Neodiprion lecontei: one gene and its partner. The protein of the gene in region 2 purifies or fractionates together with the protein of the main gene of each other region. This does not show direct contact. Links are inferred from orthologs where the notes say so. Each region holds a gene or a part of one and is shown on either strand. Other genes may lie near its edges.

Region 1 (7,935 bases), on a different chromosome or scaffold from region 2:
CGTTTGGCAAACAGCCGCGAAGGTACGATAAACCGGAATAATCGATATTACTAATGGTACGATCATTAAATTACTGATTACGTTGTACGTATAATACATTATATAAGCCTACGCATATCTCGACATTGTTAGACCAGGTAGTTACAAGCCTAACTGATTATCTTTCAACGGCTTTCTACAGAACGTAATTTCGAAACCATTGTGCTTTTGAGTGCTAAAAAAGTATCGTGCGCACTCGACACCTTCGATACTCCAGAGTCGGTTTTTTGAGCATGAGCCTCGTAATCGTCGTCTAGGATACGAGGGGTAAGCATGTTAATTCAGTAAAGGTGGTAAACGGTAAATGATGTAATCGTTAGCTGGAAGCACAGCTAATAATCAGCGCTGCCGAAGACGAATCGCAGCCAGCGAGTCTCTCCCGAGGTGTTGCGTTCAAACGAGCCACTGACGTCGACCGCTGTTTTGTATCTACGCAGATCAATACTTCAGTTCTCGAAGCTTGGCGCCACCGGACCCACCAGACTCTGATCCAAAATAGAACTTTATCTGACGAACTTGACGTGAGCGTGAGAGCGAACTGGACGAGCAAGGAACCCTCTTCAAGAACATTTTCAGGACTATATCCTGTCAGCATTCGTCAGGTTAGTGGCACGCGCTGACATCGATGTTCCTCGAAATTTAACACTCCATTTTGTTCGTTAGTAGTGTATACACGCAGAAATGGGACATTTTTTTTCTCAGTAGAAACAACTGGTGCAACAAGTCAGATATAAAAATTGCCCACAACACCATTACATAGTATTTCTGAAAATTCATTACACTTGCAAATTAAGCTAAAGACTCTCGTTACCCCTATAAATATGATTTGATTTATTATTGGAACTCAGTATCGGGTAGATCGATTATCTTCAAACGATACGTTCGGCACCATATCGTTCAAAGAGGGCAGAGGGTAACATATGTGATGTTGATCGGAAAGATTGTGTGTTTAAATTCTCAGGACACCGTTACAAGGACAATATCCGTGTATTCCTATTACAATTATTGATTCGGGCAGAAAGTCGAGCATGAGATCAATATCGGTTGGCTCTAAGCAATGAACACACGTTGAACACATGTTCAACCGAGAAATAAGGAGCAGTTTAATCTGGAAGAATCGTTTATTAAAAAATGTCATTAATCGAACTAACGCACAATGGAAAAGCTCATTATTCAGAACACTAAAGTTATTAACGCATAAGGAAATATGATGGAAAAATTTTTTATTATACAATGTTAGAACGACTTTCAAGGAGTTGGCTTGTCGAATTATGAACATGTTTTCTGTGTCACGATTTACTAACTGAATTTTCGACAATCCTAAGGATCGTTAAAGTCACGTTACTATAACTTCAACTTCGTTATCATTTATGATATTTGACTCTTTTATTCACTCAATTACTACCTGCAGTACCAAATTAGTAACATTTAAATTGAATAAAATGATATTCATTGGAATCAATCATTACAATTGATTTTACTTCCAGCTAGGCATGACTTCGAATATGCATCACGTCATTTTACTGCTTTCGGCAGTCGTCCTGAGCAGTGCATCGATGCAATACATGCCACCTCTCAAGGTAGATGAAAATTTATTCACTTTAAGATTATTTCGCGTTACGTACTTACTTATGAAACATAAGTGGCGAAACTCCTTGGTGATTTCAACACGCTTTTAAAGTTTTCTGTGCACCGCATTGCGGATCTAATTCTATAAAAAATTTCCGTTTTAAAACAGCAAGAACATTTATTCACCGACATCCTTCTTCGAGAATTGGTGGACCGTATGGGTAACGAATTTGTCGACGTTCCCGAGAACTACATGGATTTCCCTTACGATTCGCGGTTGCAAAACGAGTATGAAAAAGTGAAAGAAATTCCGGCGGACATTTCACTCGATTATGAGGGTATTGACACCCCAAACCCGAACCCCAGCATCCGTGATCAGGAATATCTGCAACATAGCTCATTATGGAGTCACCAACGTCTGAACAATAACAACGGTAATGACAGGCACAGGATTCAAGCTGCCGGTTTGAAGGGTATTAAGGACGAAAAAACTGAGACCAATTTGCCCGCCTATTGCACTCCACCAAACCCCTGTCCCATTGGCTATACAAGTAAGTCAAAATCGATGTTTAGATGGTTCTATAATATTTAGATTCCTACTTAGTGTTTTCCGATATGGTAGTTAAATTTTTTACTTGACGGTCAATTTTCAAGAATTATATTATTAATCAAATAGATGTTACAGCCCGTTTAAGGAAGTAATGTTTCACACACAGGTGTCGATCATTGCATAACAAATTTTGAAAATACCGCTGCATTCAGTCGTGATTACCAGAGTGCTCAAGACTGTATGTGCGACAAGGAACACATGGTGGATTGCACCAGTGGATCAGAGAATAACGACGGCCTTTCAAACATGCACATCTCGAATTCAGATTTCGACCAAATTGTCGAACAGTTCCAAGTACTTATTTCTATTCTGTATTGCTATGAAAATATGGAATTACCGATTTCTTTCATTTTTTATCACAGTTTGAACAGTAGAAGAACGGTCTTTTTCTCCATATCTCACTTTTCCTGACTGTGCATAATTTTTGTTGCAGCATGAAAATCCTTTCTTCCAAGGGGAGAAGCTGCCTATTGCGGCTAAGAAGGGCATTAACGTTGGTTATTAATTAATTAATAAAAACGTTATCCTCGATCCAACGCCCTAAGCGGTAAAACGTCCTGAGGAAAAATTATTATCACTAGATAAAATATTTTGAACGATTTATTATTACACATACATGTGCATTGAATGGTAGATGGTGTAACACTATCGAAAGAATTAAGATAAATCCGGTAAACGCGTGCAAACATTCGGACACAATTTTATCGCGAAAGAATCATTTTGCTGTTGGAACGGAAATATTTAATTCTAACGCGAAAGAAGCACACAATATTCAGAATCCAACATTTCATCTCGCTGGATTATGTTACTCTAAATAAATTTCCTGACATAAATTATATACTTTTATGGAAATAGATTATTATAAAGAAGAAGAGTACTGATTTATCAATAGAATATATTTTATTACGTTTCTCAATCGCATTTTATTTTGATATCGAGTATTACAGCTAATGTATTTTTATTTCCCAAGTTGAGAAAATATATATTTTAAAACAGTTGACACACCTGCGTCATCTTCCGTGTATTCGACTTTAATTTCTCTCGTACAACCTGTTCTACTGAAGAAAAAGTACAATAATCCACGCGATTTTATAATAAATAATCACAGATTTATTCCATTGATTGTAATGTACAAAAATTTATTCTATGATTAACAACTTGGCCACAATAGCCTCTGGCTATGGGCATATTACTGTTTTCTAAAACTCTTTAAAATTGGATGTATATTTGTTAAAGCATCTTGTAATTCCGCACGACTCTTGGCACCTGAAAGTATAGTAAAGGACTTTTTATCAACAGTTTATTTGTGAATATGTTTATGATTCGCTGATCGATGCCTTGTAATGCTTCTTGCGTAAAGCTAATACGTAAATTAACCGTTTTTAGGAAAAATTAAAAACTATATAAGAACGGGCTTGCAAGTAAAATGCTTTGTCTACTATAGTAATGATGCAATGTTGAAATTCAAGCATACCCACCAGTTAGTACAATCTTCCCATTGACAAATATCAAGAGTACAACTCTTGGCAAGACCATGCGATAAACCAAACCAGGGAATAGCTCTGGTTCGTAACTAGAAAACTGTCCGTGCATGTGATTTAAGTTTTCCAACTTGATGGGAAACTTCAAGTCGCACGTTGCAACAATATTATGAACTTTGAAGTTCATGAACTTTACCTAAAATATTGATGGCACACTGTTCAGTACAAAAAATAGACAAATCTTACATTCCAGTGTTCAGTGAATAAAACCTCATTATTACAAATTTAACGTAACCTGCTTCAAACGAAAAGATCATTCTGAAGAGGAAAAGTATTCCAATTCTGCAAGCCCATTAGATTCTGTATGATTGAACATTTGATGTAATAAGCAGTTGCACTGTGATCGGTTCATAGAAAAATTTTCGCGCCTACTTAAAACAAAATACTTACAGCAAATCCTAATTTCTGTATTATTCTGGCAAACTTTCTGGCTGCTAGATATGAATCTTCTTCACACCGTGCTCCAGTGCAAACCAATTTACCAGATCTAAATATAAGAGCTGTTGTTTTTGGTTCTCGTATTCGCATGATCAGCCCGGTGAAACGTGCAGGGTTGTATTCCGAATTTCTCGTTCTAGTATTTATATACATGAGTTTTAATTCCATTCCTAAATTAACTGTTGATACTATATTTCTGTGAACAAAGAACAACGAATGCAATGTTGATTATTCAATCTCATTATGGGAGTGAAAAACTTGGATAAAAGTTTAAAAGTACCATTAATATTATGTATAAAAAACAAGTATACACACGTATACATAGTTTGTGTATAACAAACCGAAGAAGATAGTTGCATGAACACCTAGTCACGTCAGGTGAATGAAACTCGGTTCGTTTTGTATCTGCTGCTAGTTTAACTAACTATTTCAATCAATGCTAAATAAGTATAGTACAAATTTTCGGTGCATTACAGAATTCTAATTTGCAAATTGAAAGATCGTATTATCGAATACGAAAAAATGTATGAACTAACCAGGTGGTACGATATACTCACTGCAAACGCGGTTGAAGTACCTCCTTTTTACTAAAGGCAGGTAGCATGGGATTCATTGCTGACTGTGGATTAACATTTTGAGACGTACTCGGCCGTGGAACGTTCGTCTACACCAGAAAAATTGACCGATAATAAACAAACAAGTGTCAAAAGGTAACCTGTAGGAAACATATTTGGACACTTACCGAAAGCGGAGGCGCCATAGAGGCGTCATCCGTGACATTTTTAGCTGGATTGTTTAACAGTTTTTTCAACTCATTGTCAGTTTGAGTTGCAGAACTCATTTTATCTCAAATTAAGAACTCAACATCCGCAGTCCGCGACGGACAGTTTACACTACAACACCACACGTTGTCACCCGATCGAACGAACCTAACCTTGCATCGCTCATGCCATCTAAGGCGTTGCCATGGATACTTCGTGATTCTTTACGCGTGGTCCGCAACGGATCTTTTTAAGCTCATATAATGTACGAACACTTCTGCCGTAGACGAAATCGATCATAGACGCGACACCCTATGGTCAATCGGACCCTACGTGAAGAATCATGAAGGCGCGTCGTTATTTGATTATTTGATAAGTTGTCATAAGGGTTGCCCGTAGCAACGATAGTACCGTAACGTTTGCTCAAGTATTTCAGACTGACCAAACGATTAATGACAATTATTGTCCCGAGGTGAAGTTCGGAACACCGACACTTTCGTACATATTTCATATTTATTCAGCAGCGAAAAGTATCACGAACGAATAATATGACTACTGCCCATTCCACTGCCGATTCAAATGTTAACGTTATAATATTTGACGCTTCAAAAAATGAGCGGAGGTTGAACGAGGAATTTAAAGTTCTTCAGAGAAAGTTGAAACCGAAATGGAAGTTTATAGAGTGAGTTGAGAACAATTTCATTACACTGCAATATAGTTGATTATATGTACCTACACATTTTCAATCTTGTCTGAATACAGTAAATCGGAAACAAATCAGATCGGCTCTAGGAAAAAAAGCATTCAACGGTGTTAAAATTGTTTGTAGAAACAACGACGTCCTATCGCAAGAATCGCTAACTACTGGCAAGGTCTTAGTATTGCCAGGCCCTCGCAGCAAATTCACCGAACTCGAAATGAACGCTATCAGAACGTTCATAAATTCTGGAGGAAACGTATTGGTCATGCTTGGCGAAGGTGGAGAAAATAAATTCAATACGAATATCAACTTTTTGTTGGAGGAATTTGGAATTATGGTGAATAATGGTGAGGCGCAAATTTGAATTGATACAGTTTTGTAAATCACATATCTAGCAGTTAAAACTACATTTATAGGCAATCATATTTGAAATAATCATAATTGTCGTCTCATGTGAAGTAATTTCACTAACTTATTGTTTATTTGCTTCTATAATGAATGTATAATTAATTCCATTTACCCTTTCTTCATATGAAGATTTGCAAATGTAGAGAAATTTTATACAATACTTTTAGATGATAAAAAAAATATTTTTTTTTAGCCGTAACAGTATCAGCTAACAGTCCGTATTATGCTCCGTTTCAGAGTATAAATTATAAATCGTTATTTAGACACAGTCAGAAAATATTCTAATATATTATGTACATACGCAAGAAAGTATAGTGACATTAATTGTAATCGCTAAGATATCATACGAAAATTGTCCTCCTAGATAAAAGGAGGGCCATTAAAGAAGAACCCAAGAACGAATACAATTTGAAATGTTCAAAAAATTTTCAGATAGTGTGGTCAGAATGAATTACAGTCAAACATTTCATCCGAAGGAATGTGTCATATCAGAAGGATTGTCAAATAAATCAGTTTTCGTGAAAAATCGCGACGAGTACACGTGAGTAATAAAGACGTCATACTACAATAACTCTTGGTTTTAAAATTGAACCATTTTCCGTATCATACAGCTATACTGACTTTAATTGCAATGATTATAATTAATCGAATATTCAGAGGTTTGAAGTACTTGTATCCATACGGGGCAACTTTGAATGTAGTACAACCATCCAGTGTGACTCTATCGAGTGGGGCAGTTGCTATACCAACAAATAGACCAATTTGTGCTTACTACTCGTCAAAATCGAACGGCGGTAAATTGGTTGTCTTGGGCTCGTCGAGAATGCTGACGGACAGTTACATAGAGAAAGAAAGAAATGACCAATTTAGGGAAATGTTGTTTGAATTCTTTAGTTCTGACGAAGTAACTGTGAAACACACGCAACCCGATGATATTGATGTGAGACTCTCCTGTTTACTCGCGATCTGAATTTATTCATCATCAAAACTTACACATAATGAAAATGATTTTTACAGTATTGGGAGTACAATTTTGTTCCGGATACAACTCAGCAAGCGGACATCCCAAAAGTTTGCACCCAAGAATTAGACAACATTGAAATACCACGAGAATACACCAAGTTGTTCAAACAACACTTTTACTCCATACATTTGAATATGATTCCTGCATGTATCAAGGCATATGAAGTTTTAGGGGTGAAAAAGCAGCCGTTGACGTTAATTACCCCCCAGTTCGAGACCCCTTTACCACCAACACAGGCATCGGTGAGACATTGGCTGAAACATTACGTTGATAACTGATCTAAAGAAGTCAGAGAATCCTAACTAATTTATTTCAACTGATGCAAATATCAGAATACATCCTGCTGATGTTTTCTGAATATCGATTGAAAATGCTTGATCCACAGGTCTTCCCACCGAGTTTTCAAGAACTTCCACCACCAGCTTTAGAATTGTATGACTTAGACGAAGCCTTCAGTTCTGATTTGCTAAAATTATCTCAACTTTCCAATAAATACTTGGCTAATAAAAATCAATCAAATGAAATGGAGTTGGACTACTATATAAGAGAATTTGGAGGAATAATACGAATACCTAATGCAGAATCGTGTACGGCTAAAGAAGTGTTGAACAATATTTTCCAAAAATTAGCTAATTTCAAAAAAGTACATACTTAATTACTTAACCAATTATCAATACAATCAACAAACAATTACCGTGTATATACATTGCAATAAAATCTCAACAATACACTTATAAATATAAGCTACTAATAATTCAATTATCTTAAATACTTTCGTTCGTACCAGATATTGTTTCCATATTTTCAATTTCGAAAACAGAGGAATTGTTTTTGTGTGCCACCTA
Region 2 (8,051 bases):
AACAATTTGATTTGCTGGCGCATGCGTTGGATCGATAATCGACCGGTAAAAGCGGAACCCGACATTCTCCACTTTTGACTCAATCTATGTCACTTCGCTAGTCAATGCCAATCTCTTCGGTCCACCCAGTGTTGCCAAAACTAAAGAAATTTATTTAAATCTAAAGAAATTAGAGTCCGTTCAAACGGTTCAGAGAAAAAAGAAAAGTTGTTTTCTTATTATAAACTATTGTCGCTTAGGCCAGATTCTGAGGAAAATCCGAAGATTTCTGGCGTAATCTCGAGACTGAAAGAAGCGAAATATCTAAATATGACTAAACATCGACAAATTGTGAGGTTCCCAAGAAAATATGCACAAATCAGATAGCGTCTACAATTTTCAAACGCACTTATTTGACATGTTAACGGTCCTAAATATTAAAAATAAAAACATATTATTTACATGAAAGTCCCGAATATCTTTATACTTACAATTCAGATTGTAGCATATAAATTTTTGAGTTGCCTCGCTCGTTAATTATTATTATATATTTATAGGAAAATTGTCCGTCTTGAAAATGAGAAACATGACGGATTATTGTGACGTTATTAAGACATCTGAAGAATTATTGTAGTGCCATTTAAAATAAGAAATCTGAAGAATTATTTTGGCGCCTTTTAAAGAAATATTCGTCCGATAGGTTGGCAACTCTGGATCTACCAAGTTCTTTTCCGATTTCGGGTAGTCTATGCTTGATTTACCGAATTGTAAATTATTCACGTGGGTCAGTGTGATTTTGAGTGAGCGCAGATTGTGTCGCCGTTAGTTGTAAATTCGTCGATGCGAAGACAAGCAGCTCAAAGCTGAGGGTAGCCAATCATGGGTATACTCGAAAAAATATCAGAAATCGAGAAAGAGATCGCTCGGACGCAAAAAAATAAGGGTTTGTTTCGGATTTGAGGTTATGTGTCTGCCAGCCGCAACGCCGTGACCGGCTCGGAGTCTGGGGATTTTGCATTTTTTCTAATTTTCTCAACCGTCGTTTAAAGGTCGATATTTGTTTTTACAGCGACGGAGTATCATCTCGGCCTATTGAAGGCAAAGTTAGCCAAGTATCGCTCCCAGTTATTAGAGCCGTCAAAGAAATCCGAAAAGGGGGAAGGGTTCGATGTACTGAAATCAGGAGATGCGCGGGTCGCCCTGATCGGTTTTCCCTCTGTGGGTAAATCCACTTTACTCAGCACCCTTACTCACACCGAATCCGAAGCTGCGTCCTACGAATTCACAACGCTTACGTGCATACCAGGTGTAATCGAATACAAGGGAGCAAACATACAACTTTTAGATTTGCCCGGTATCATCGAAGGTGCCGCTCAGGTATTGCCTAGAAAAATAAACACCGGCGATGTTTTCGCGTACATCGAGTTTTCTAATTCTTGGTAATTTTCCCAGGGAAAAGGAAGAGGGAGGCAAGTCATAGCCGTCGCAAGAACGGCAGATTTGGTATTGATGATGTTAGATGCGACGAAACAAGATGTACAACGACAATTATTAGAGAAAGAATTGGAGTCTGTTGGTATTAGACTGAACAAACAGAAACCCAATATATATTTTAAAATAAAGAAGGGTGGGGGGCTCTCGTTCAACTCTACTTGCCCACTGACTAAAGTTGACGAGAAGTTGGTCCAAATGATCTTACATGAGTATAAAATATTCAACGCTGAGGTATTGTTTCGCGAAGACTGCACTGCCGATGAGCTCATCGATGTTATCAATGCAAACAGAGTGTACCTACCCTGCCTGTACGTATACAATAAGATTGATCAAATATCTATAGAAGAAGTTGATAGAATCGCGAGGCAAAGCAACAGCGTCGTAGTTAGGTGAGTCAAGCATAGGATACTATCAGTTTTTGGAAAGCGTTCACGCGCAATTCCACCAACAAAACTTCTAAGCTAAAATACTCTTACGACAGTTGCAACATGAAATTGAATTTGGACTATTTGCTGGAGGTTCTGTGGGAATATTTGTCACTCATCAGGGTTTACACTAAAAAACCTGGTCAACCACCAGACTTTGATGATGGATTGATTTTACGGAAGGGAGTCACGGTCGAACATGTCTGTCACAGCATTCACCGGACTCTCGCTGAACAATTCAAATATGCTCTTGTTTGGGTAAGATTACCGGATGTAAAGTATGTTTAAAAATGACGAGATATTTACCACCTCTAAACTTCGATGAACATTCTCTTTGCAGGGCACGAGCACAAAATACTCACCCCAAAGGGTAGGATTGCAACATGTGATGCATGACGAAGATGTGATACAAGTGCTCAAAAAATAAATCAATGCAAATACTTTGGTTTGACTAATATACCATAGTATAATATACTAATGATGATGGTGAACGATATTATCAGCTTCGCAAAGCCTAATGTATATTTTATATATTCTAAAAATAAGCAATCCACAAAATGGATGAAATAACGTCACTTTTTGGGGTATAAATATCCAAGCTATAAAAAATTATGCGACACATTATTTCAATGTCAATTCTTTCTTCCTCAAGTATCCACGAATTTAGTTGACTTATTACATCGTTTTTAATAAAATTGTACTGTTAATGGATTGATAAGAAACATTCTCGTCTTTTAACGTTGTTCGAATGAAAATACTTGCTTCATTATTTGGAAAAAAAAATGGCATCCCCACACCCATTATGCCAGTCTCCGTATTATTTATGAACTTATCCGACCATGGCGAACCTTTTTTTGTCCACTGCAGGTCTTGTCGTTTGTCCTTTGCACCAAAGTTACCGACCCCAATCAAATTTCTTCAGATCTAATGTATTTTGATGTCCGCCAAAGCAAAAAGAAAAAGAATTCTTTTCAAGAATTGTGGTAATTTATATCGAAATCTAAAGAAACTTTATCACTTTTAAAGAATTTTTCTTCCTGATTCCAAATTCCTACATTTTTAATTTCCTATTCCAATTTTTTCTAATTGTTTGGAATTTGTTGTAATATCGGTATTTAACTTAAGAAAACAAGGCGGGTGAGTCGATATATAACTGAATAAAACTCGAGATATGCTTCGGTGATTTGGAGTTTCAATTTGAGTCACTTCGGGTTCATCTGTGCTATTTTTCCAAATTTTCGCTCATAGTTTCAATTTTTCCGAATTTTGTTATTAGATTGACCAGTTTTGTTAGTTTTCATACACATTTCAAATGAAAATTAATACAAATCGTTCCCGCGCTTAGAGCATATACTACTAGAGGTAGAGCTATCTAAGATGATGTCACAGAAATGTAACATGACGCCCATGAATGCGACAACTGATTTCACGTAAATAGATTACTTGAAGTTATTTATTTCCATATATTCTGCTTACTGATAGTGCCAGTATGTGCATTCAAAAGTTGCAAAAATAATAACATAAACACTAAAGGATAAAATATAAAATTTTTATCTTTCCCAACAGAGGATAATTACGTTCATGTTAATTACGTTTGAATTTGGCGCTTATAAAGTTCGAAAAATCATGCATGTATGTATGCCAACCAAAGAAATCTAAAGAAATTTCGACCTCCGTCCAACGCTTCGTCCACTCCATGGATTTCCGGTCGGATTTCGCTTCGGCGGTTGGCAAGGCCGATTTGAACGGTCGATTTTATCGTAGGAGTTGCGATTGTGAGTCAGTGTGAGTATCGCAGCACCGTAGAGTGGATATATGTACAAGAAGTGATACTGCTTCGTCGGATAACAACAGCGGAATTCTTCGTGCGGTGATTCTTTCGCTGCACCACTTTGGTTTCATAATATAACGATTATCCACAGCGTCAGCGAGCGTCATTCGTACCTATAAACGGTCAAACGCACGACACTAATTCAAGGTTAGCTGTTGCACAATAATAATGTACCCAAAGGCAGTTATTTGTATTGTAGGTTAGCTGCCAATGAATGTTTAAGCTTAATTATACATGCCTGTAATTAGCATGAATTTGACATTGCGATCCTTACAATTCTGTCACATTTACTTCCATTTGTCTTGATATTTTGCATTTTCATCAATGCGCCAAACTGACCCCGCAGCTGTAATTCTGATTTGTTTGACAGCTACGTCAATGCTTCGTTGAATTTTTCACTTCATCGTACATTTGGAATTGATTTCTTTACGAGAAAAATTCCCATTTATTGTATTTAATTATTGAAATAAGAAACCTCAGCTGAAAAGAATACCAAAAATTATCGTAAAAAAGACCAATTATGATGAGCCGACAGACATCGGAGAAAGAGACCTGATATTTATAATAATATAGATATTATTATGTGCCTTATAATCCCTATAATCCTATTTATCCCTGTATGATTAACTTTGTAATTTTACTTACAGGTGTAACTTTACTTTACTGGTTAAATAAACATCAAATATCAAATTTGGTAAAAGTGTCGATAATATTTTAACCAGAGAACTGTTAATAATCACAGTGTCGTTTTGTTTCAGATGTCGGGCAGCAAGTGCCGCAATTGCGGATCTACGGATATAGAAACCGATCCAGCACGCGGAGACGCAGTTTGTACACAATGTGGTTCTGTCCTCGAGGATCAGCTGATAGTCAGCGAAACAGCTTTCGAGGAAACTGCGACTGGGAATATTATGCTTGCCCAGTTTGTAGCCAGCGACAGTGCCGGCGGTGCAACAAGTTTTGGTGCAGGTATGCCTAAATATTCTGCCTACTTTCGTGGTTACTTGAATCAGGCGAATACACTCGTCCGAGATTCAGCTATGCATATCACTGAGCTGTTAATCAATATTACGAGTGTATAACTAAGAAGATACGTACCTGTGATCTTGTGAAATTAGTGACAAATTTTAAGTAATTCTGTCATCTCGTTATACACACTCACAGTTTAACGCAATTCTATCGCCAATTGTAGCCTACCATGTGAGCGGTAAAGAATCTCGGGAAGTCACTATACAAAATGCGAGGAAAGGCATAACAAATCTCTGTACTCAGCTAAGGTGAGAATATTTTTGTGCAAATAAGTATCTAATCGATACATTCATATACTTTGAATGAATCTGTGACGACTTTATCCAATACCTAGGTTAAATCAACACTGCGTCGATACTGCTGTAAATTTTTATAAAATGGCATTGAGTCGTCATTTAACCAGGGGTCGGAAACAGGAACACAATCATGCAGCTTGCGTTTACATTACATGTCGCACCGAGGGAACAGCACGTATCCTTTTCAGAACAAACCTATCATAAGTATGATTCGTGCAGAATAGCTGCGTAAACTCATTCGAAATGTTGAGAATATCTAAATATTTGATACTCATGAATTTTATTAAGATTAAAAATTATTTCTAGAAACTTCTCTGCGATATGAAAAAATCTTTTTCCTTAATAACAGATTTAGATATGTTAATTGATATTAGCGATGTACTACAAATTTGCGTTTACGAATTGGGACGGACATATTTGAGATTCACTCAGGCGTTATGCATCAACATTCCTTCAATGGGTAAGTTTGATCTTATCTCATTATAGTTTATTTTTATATTCGGTGATTATCATGTGTTGGATGGAAATGGGGAAAAATGTAGGAATAACGATACATCGAGTTTAATATTTTATGTGTTTATAGTATGAAATAACAATTTACATATTAGAAATGATAAATTTCTATACACGTGAAATGGCAGAAGCAGATCTAACAATATAACTCATTATTCCAACAATATTTGAATAGTATAAGAAAGTGCCTGCAGCCTAGGTGCTGATACGTATAAAACGTAACTATATATTCTTCTCATACAGAGATCTACGGGGTTTAATTTTTTCTTTTTTCTCCTCTCTTCTATTAATAGGCTAGTAGTTTATAATATCTCATACATGTCAAATTCTATGAAGATTTCGCACTTGTTGCGTAAGAAATTTTACAACCTTCGATACAACGTGTTCAAAGTGAATAGTTTTTACATCTTATTCGAGACAAGATATCATAGCATGGTGCAATCTTAATCTGACTATCACAATGAATGTTAGTGGTTGTACTCCAAGTATATAGTTATACAAGTAAGTGCTGACTATTTTCCAACTTTGGCTTAGGTGCCGAATTTAATAAAAATTGTATTAAAATTGTCACCACTGAATCATCGATATATATATATATATATATATATATATATGTGTGTGTGTGTGTGTGTGTGTGTGTGTGTGTGTGTGTGTGTGTGTGTGTGTGTGTGTACATATAGTATATATATATATATATATATATATATATATATATATATATATATATATATGTGTGTGTGTGTGTGTGTGTGTGTGTGTGTGTGTGTGTGTGTGTGTGTGTATATAAATATAGTATATATATACATATACAAACTTATTCAGAATAAAGTAATAAAACACTAAATCAGGAGCATAGTTTTTGTCATGACTTGTGCGTTGCTTAAAAGGTGAAGAAAAATTGAAATTTTCTCTGTTCTCTTCTATTTCACATTTGAAATTACAAGTTGATAATATTATTTGATACCGTTGCCGTGAATAAAGAATTCGATAAAATAACATTTTTTTTCTCCAGTATTTAATATTTTAAATTTAACAATGAAATCGTGAGAATGATATTTCCTAACAAGCTACACTATTTTACACTTTATAAAAGTGACGAAAACTAAATCTGGGATAATATTATCTTAGCGGTGGTCTATCTCCATGTGTAATTATAATTTTACTCATAATTGTTATTTTCACTGCAATAAGTAAAGTGAGAATAACTTTTATACATAATAAATATGGGATGTAATATCAATGTCCGATATTCAACAGCTCCCCTCAGCGCAGTGTCAATAGGAAATGGGAGCGGTAAAACCATTAGTGAGAAACATTATTGATAGTTATTGCAACGGGTAATTACACCATTGTCTCTGGGATAAAGTTACGTCAATCATCTGTAGGGGGTCCATAAAATATAAGTTCAGGAATTTGACCTCCCTGAACTCCAGTCCCATTTGTACTTTCTGAGCTGCATTGGAATTGAAAATTAACACTGCCAATGGTTGCTTCCGACATCCCTTCTTGACCAAAGTAGCTCAGTTCACCACCGTCCAATATTGCGCTTGCGGTATAAAAACACTCAGGTTCTATTTGAATAGGATTTTCGAAGTACACGTGAAAAGTATTGCTCGAACCGTCGGAAAAGAATTTCGTATTATTTTCCGATAATACACGGCCCAATCTTTTCAATTCTATTTTAACGTTATAGTCAGCCGCTCCTGATGAACTTCCGTATAAACCAAAACCAACAACAAAAATTCGCTTATCGACGCTAAACTGAATCGAATCGCATCTCCCTCTGTAGCGCCATTGATTAGATCTGTATGCACACGACTGAAACCTGTGGCAGACCTGAAAAGAGATAATAATTGGTGTTTTGATAGCGTTTACATTCGTCAGGCATATAAGAAGGATAAGAGCGAATATTTGTTAGTGATAGAACTCGGGGTGTATCGATTTTAGCAGCGAGAGAATTTTATTCAATTTTTTATCGCTTTAAAGATGTGAAAATTCGAAAGTTTCTCATAATTTTAAAATGATTTATTTAATCGAAAACCACAGCGCTCTTAATCTCTGAAATGATATCGATTATTTTCAGCAAAGGTCGTTTTGAACATTCTATCGTTTTCTTGATAGTATCTTTATACGTGTATTGGGGTGCGAGTAGATTCGAAGGAAAATATTAATAGCGATAATGATAGCGTGCATAGCAGGCAAACAAAAATTCAGACTTCTCTGTAACGTCCAACTTCAATTTATGATTTTTAGAGATGTTAGTGGCAGTTGGGAGGAAATAATTATTAAAGTTAATAGATTGCTTCTAGGTAATATCAATTGTCTACAACCAATGAAAAATTGTTAGTCTGCAGCATTGAAGACATTTGACAAGTTTAGTATCAATCATAGAAAGAAAAATGTATTTCATATCGTTCCAACTTTGTTCTCAAATTCATAAAAGGGCCAATTGAGTGGCGTTAGGTAAAGTTTGGTGGTAAGTGA

What was found.
Region 1: the proteins of transcription factor IIIB 90 kDa subunit (region 2) and TATA-box-binding protein purify together in Drosophila melanogaster (affinity purification with mass spectrometry; 3 studies listed by BioGRID, with this or other methods). This does not show direct contact. The link is inferred for Neodiprion lecontei from reciprocal best matches to the Drosophila melanogaster genes Brf and Trf.

What each region holds. Positions count from the first base shown.
Region 1 is NC_060262.1:28,878,644-28,886,578, reverse strand, and holds TATA-box-binding protein, read right to left. Parts: upstream 5,289-7,935; 5' UTR 5,039-5,288; coding exon 4,940-5,038; intron 4,908-4,939; exon of another isoform or gene 4,862-4,907; coding exon 4,755-4,861; intron 4,394-4,754; coding exon 4,150-4,393; intron 3,896-4,149; coding exon 3,697-3,895; intron 3,485-3,696; coding exon 3,408-3,484; 3' UTR 2,818-3,407; downstream 1-2,817. Other genes in the region: uncharacterized protein LOC107220697, read left to right, coding at 1-22, 360-641, 1,527-1,619, 1,778-2,159, 2,325-2,512, 2,652-2,723; intraflagellar transport protein 52 homolog, read left to right, coding at 5,507-5,640, 5,788-6,005, 6,499-6,607, 6,724-7,006, 7,084-7,332, 7,476-7,745. UniProt on the Drosophila melanogaster protein: Acts as a transcription factor. Binds to the TATA box promoter element which lies close to the position of transcription initiation. May be essential for embryonic development.
Region 2 is NC_060263.1:2,928,576-2,936,626, reverse strand, and holds the start of transcription factor IIIB 90 kDa subunit, read left to right. Parts: upstream 1-3,658; 5' UTR 3,659-3,876; intron 3,877-4,487; coding exon 4,488-4,698; intron 4,699-4,921; coding exon 4,922-5,006; intron 5,007-5,092; coding exon 5,093-5,229; intron 5,230-5,409; coding exon 5,410-5,514; intron 5,515-6,298; exon of another isoform or gene 6,299-6,938; coding exon of another isoform or gene 6,939-7,403; intron 7,404-8,051. Other genes in the region: developmentally-regulated GTP-binding protein 2, read left to right, coding at 859-922, 1,049-1,356, 1,432-1,862, 1,955-2,156, 2,239-2,325; BTB/POZ domain-containing protein 6, read right to left, coding at 6,939-7,403.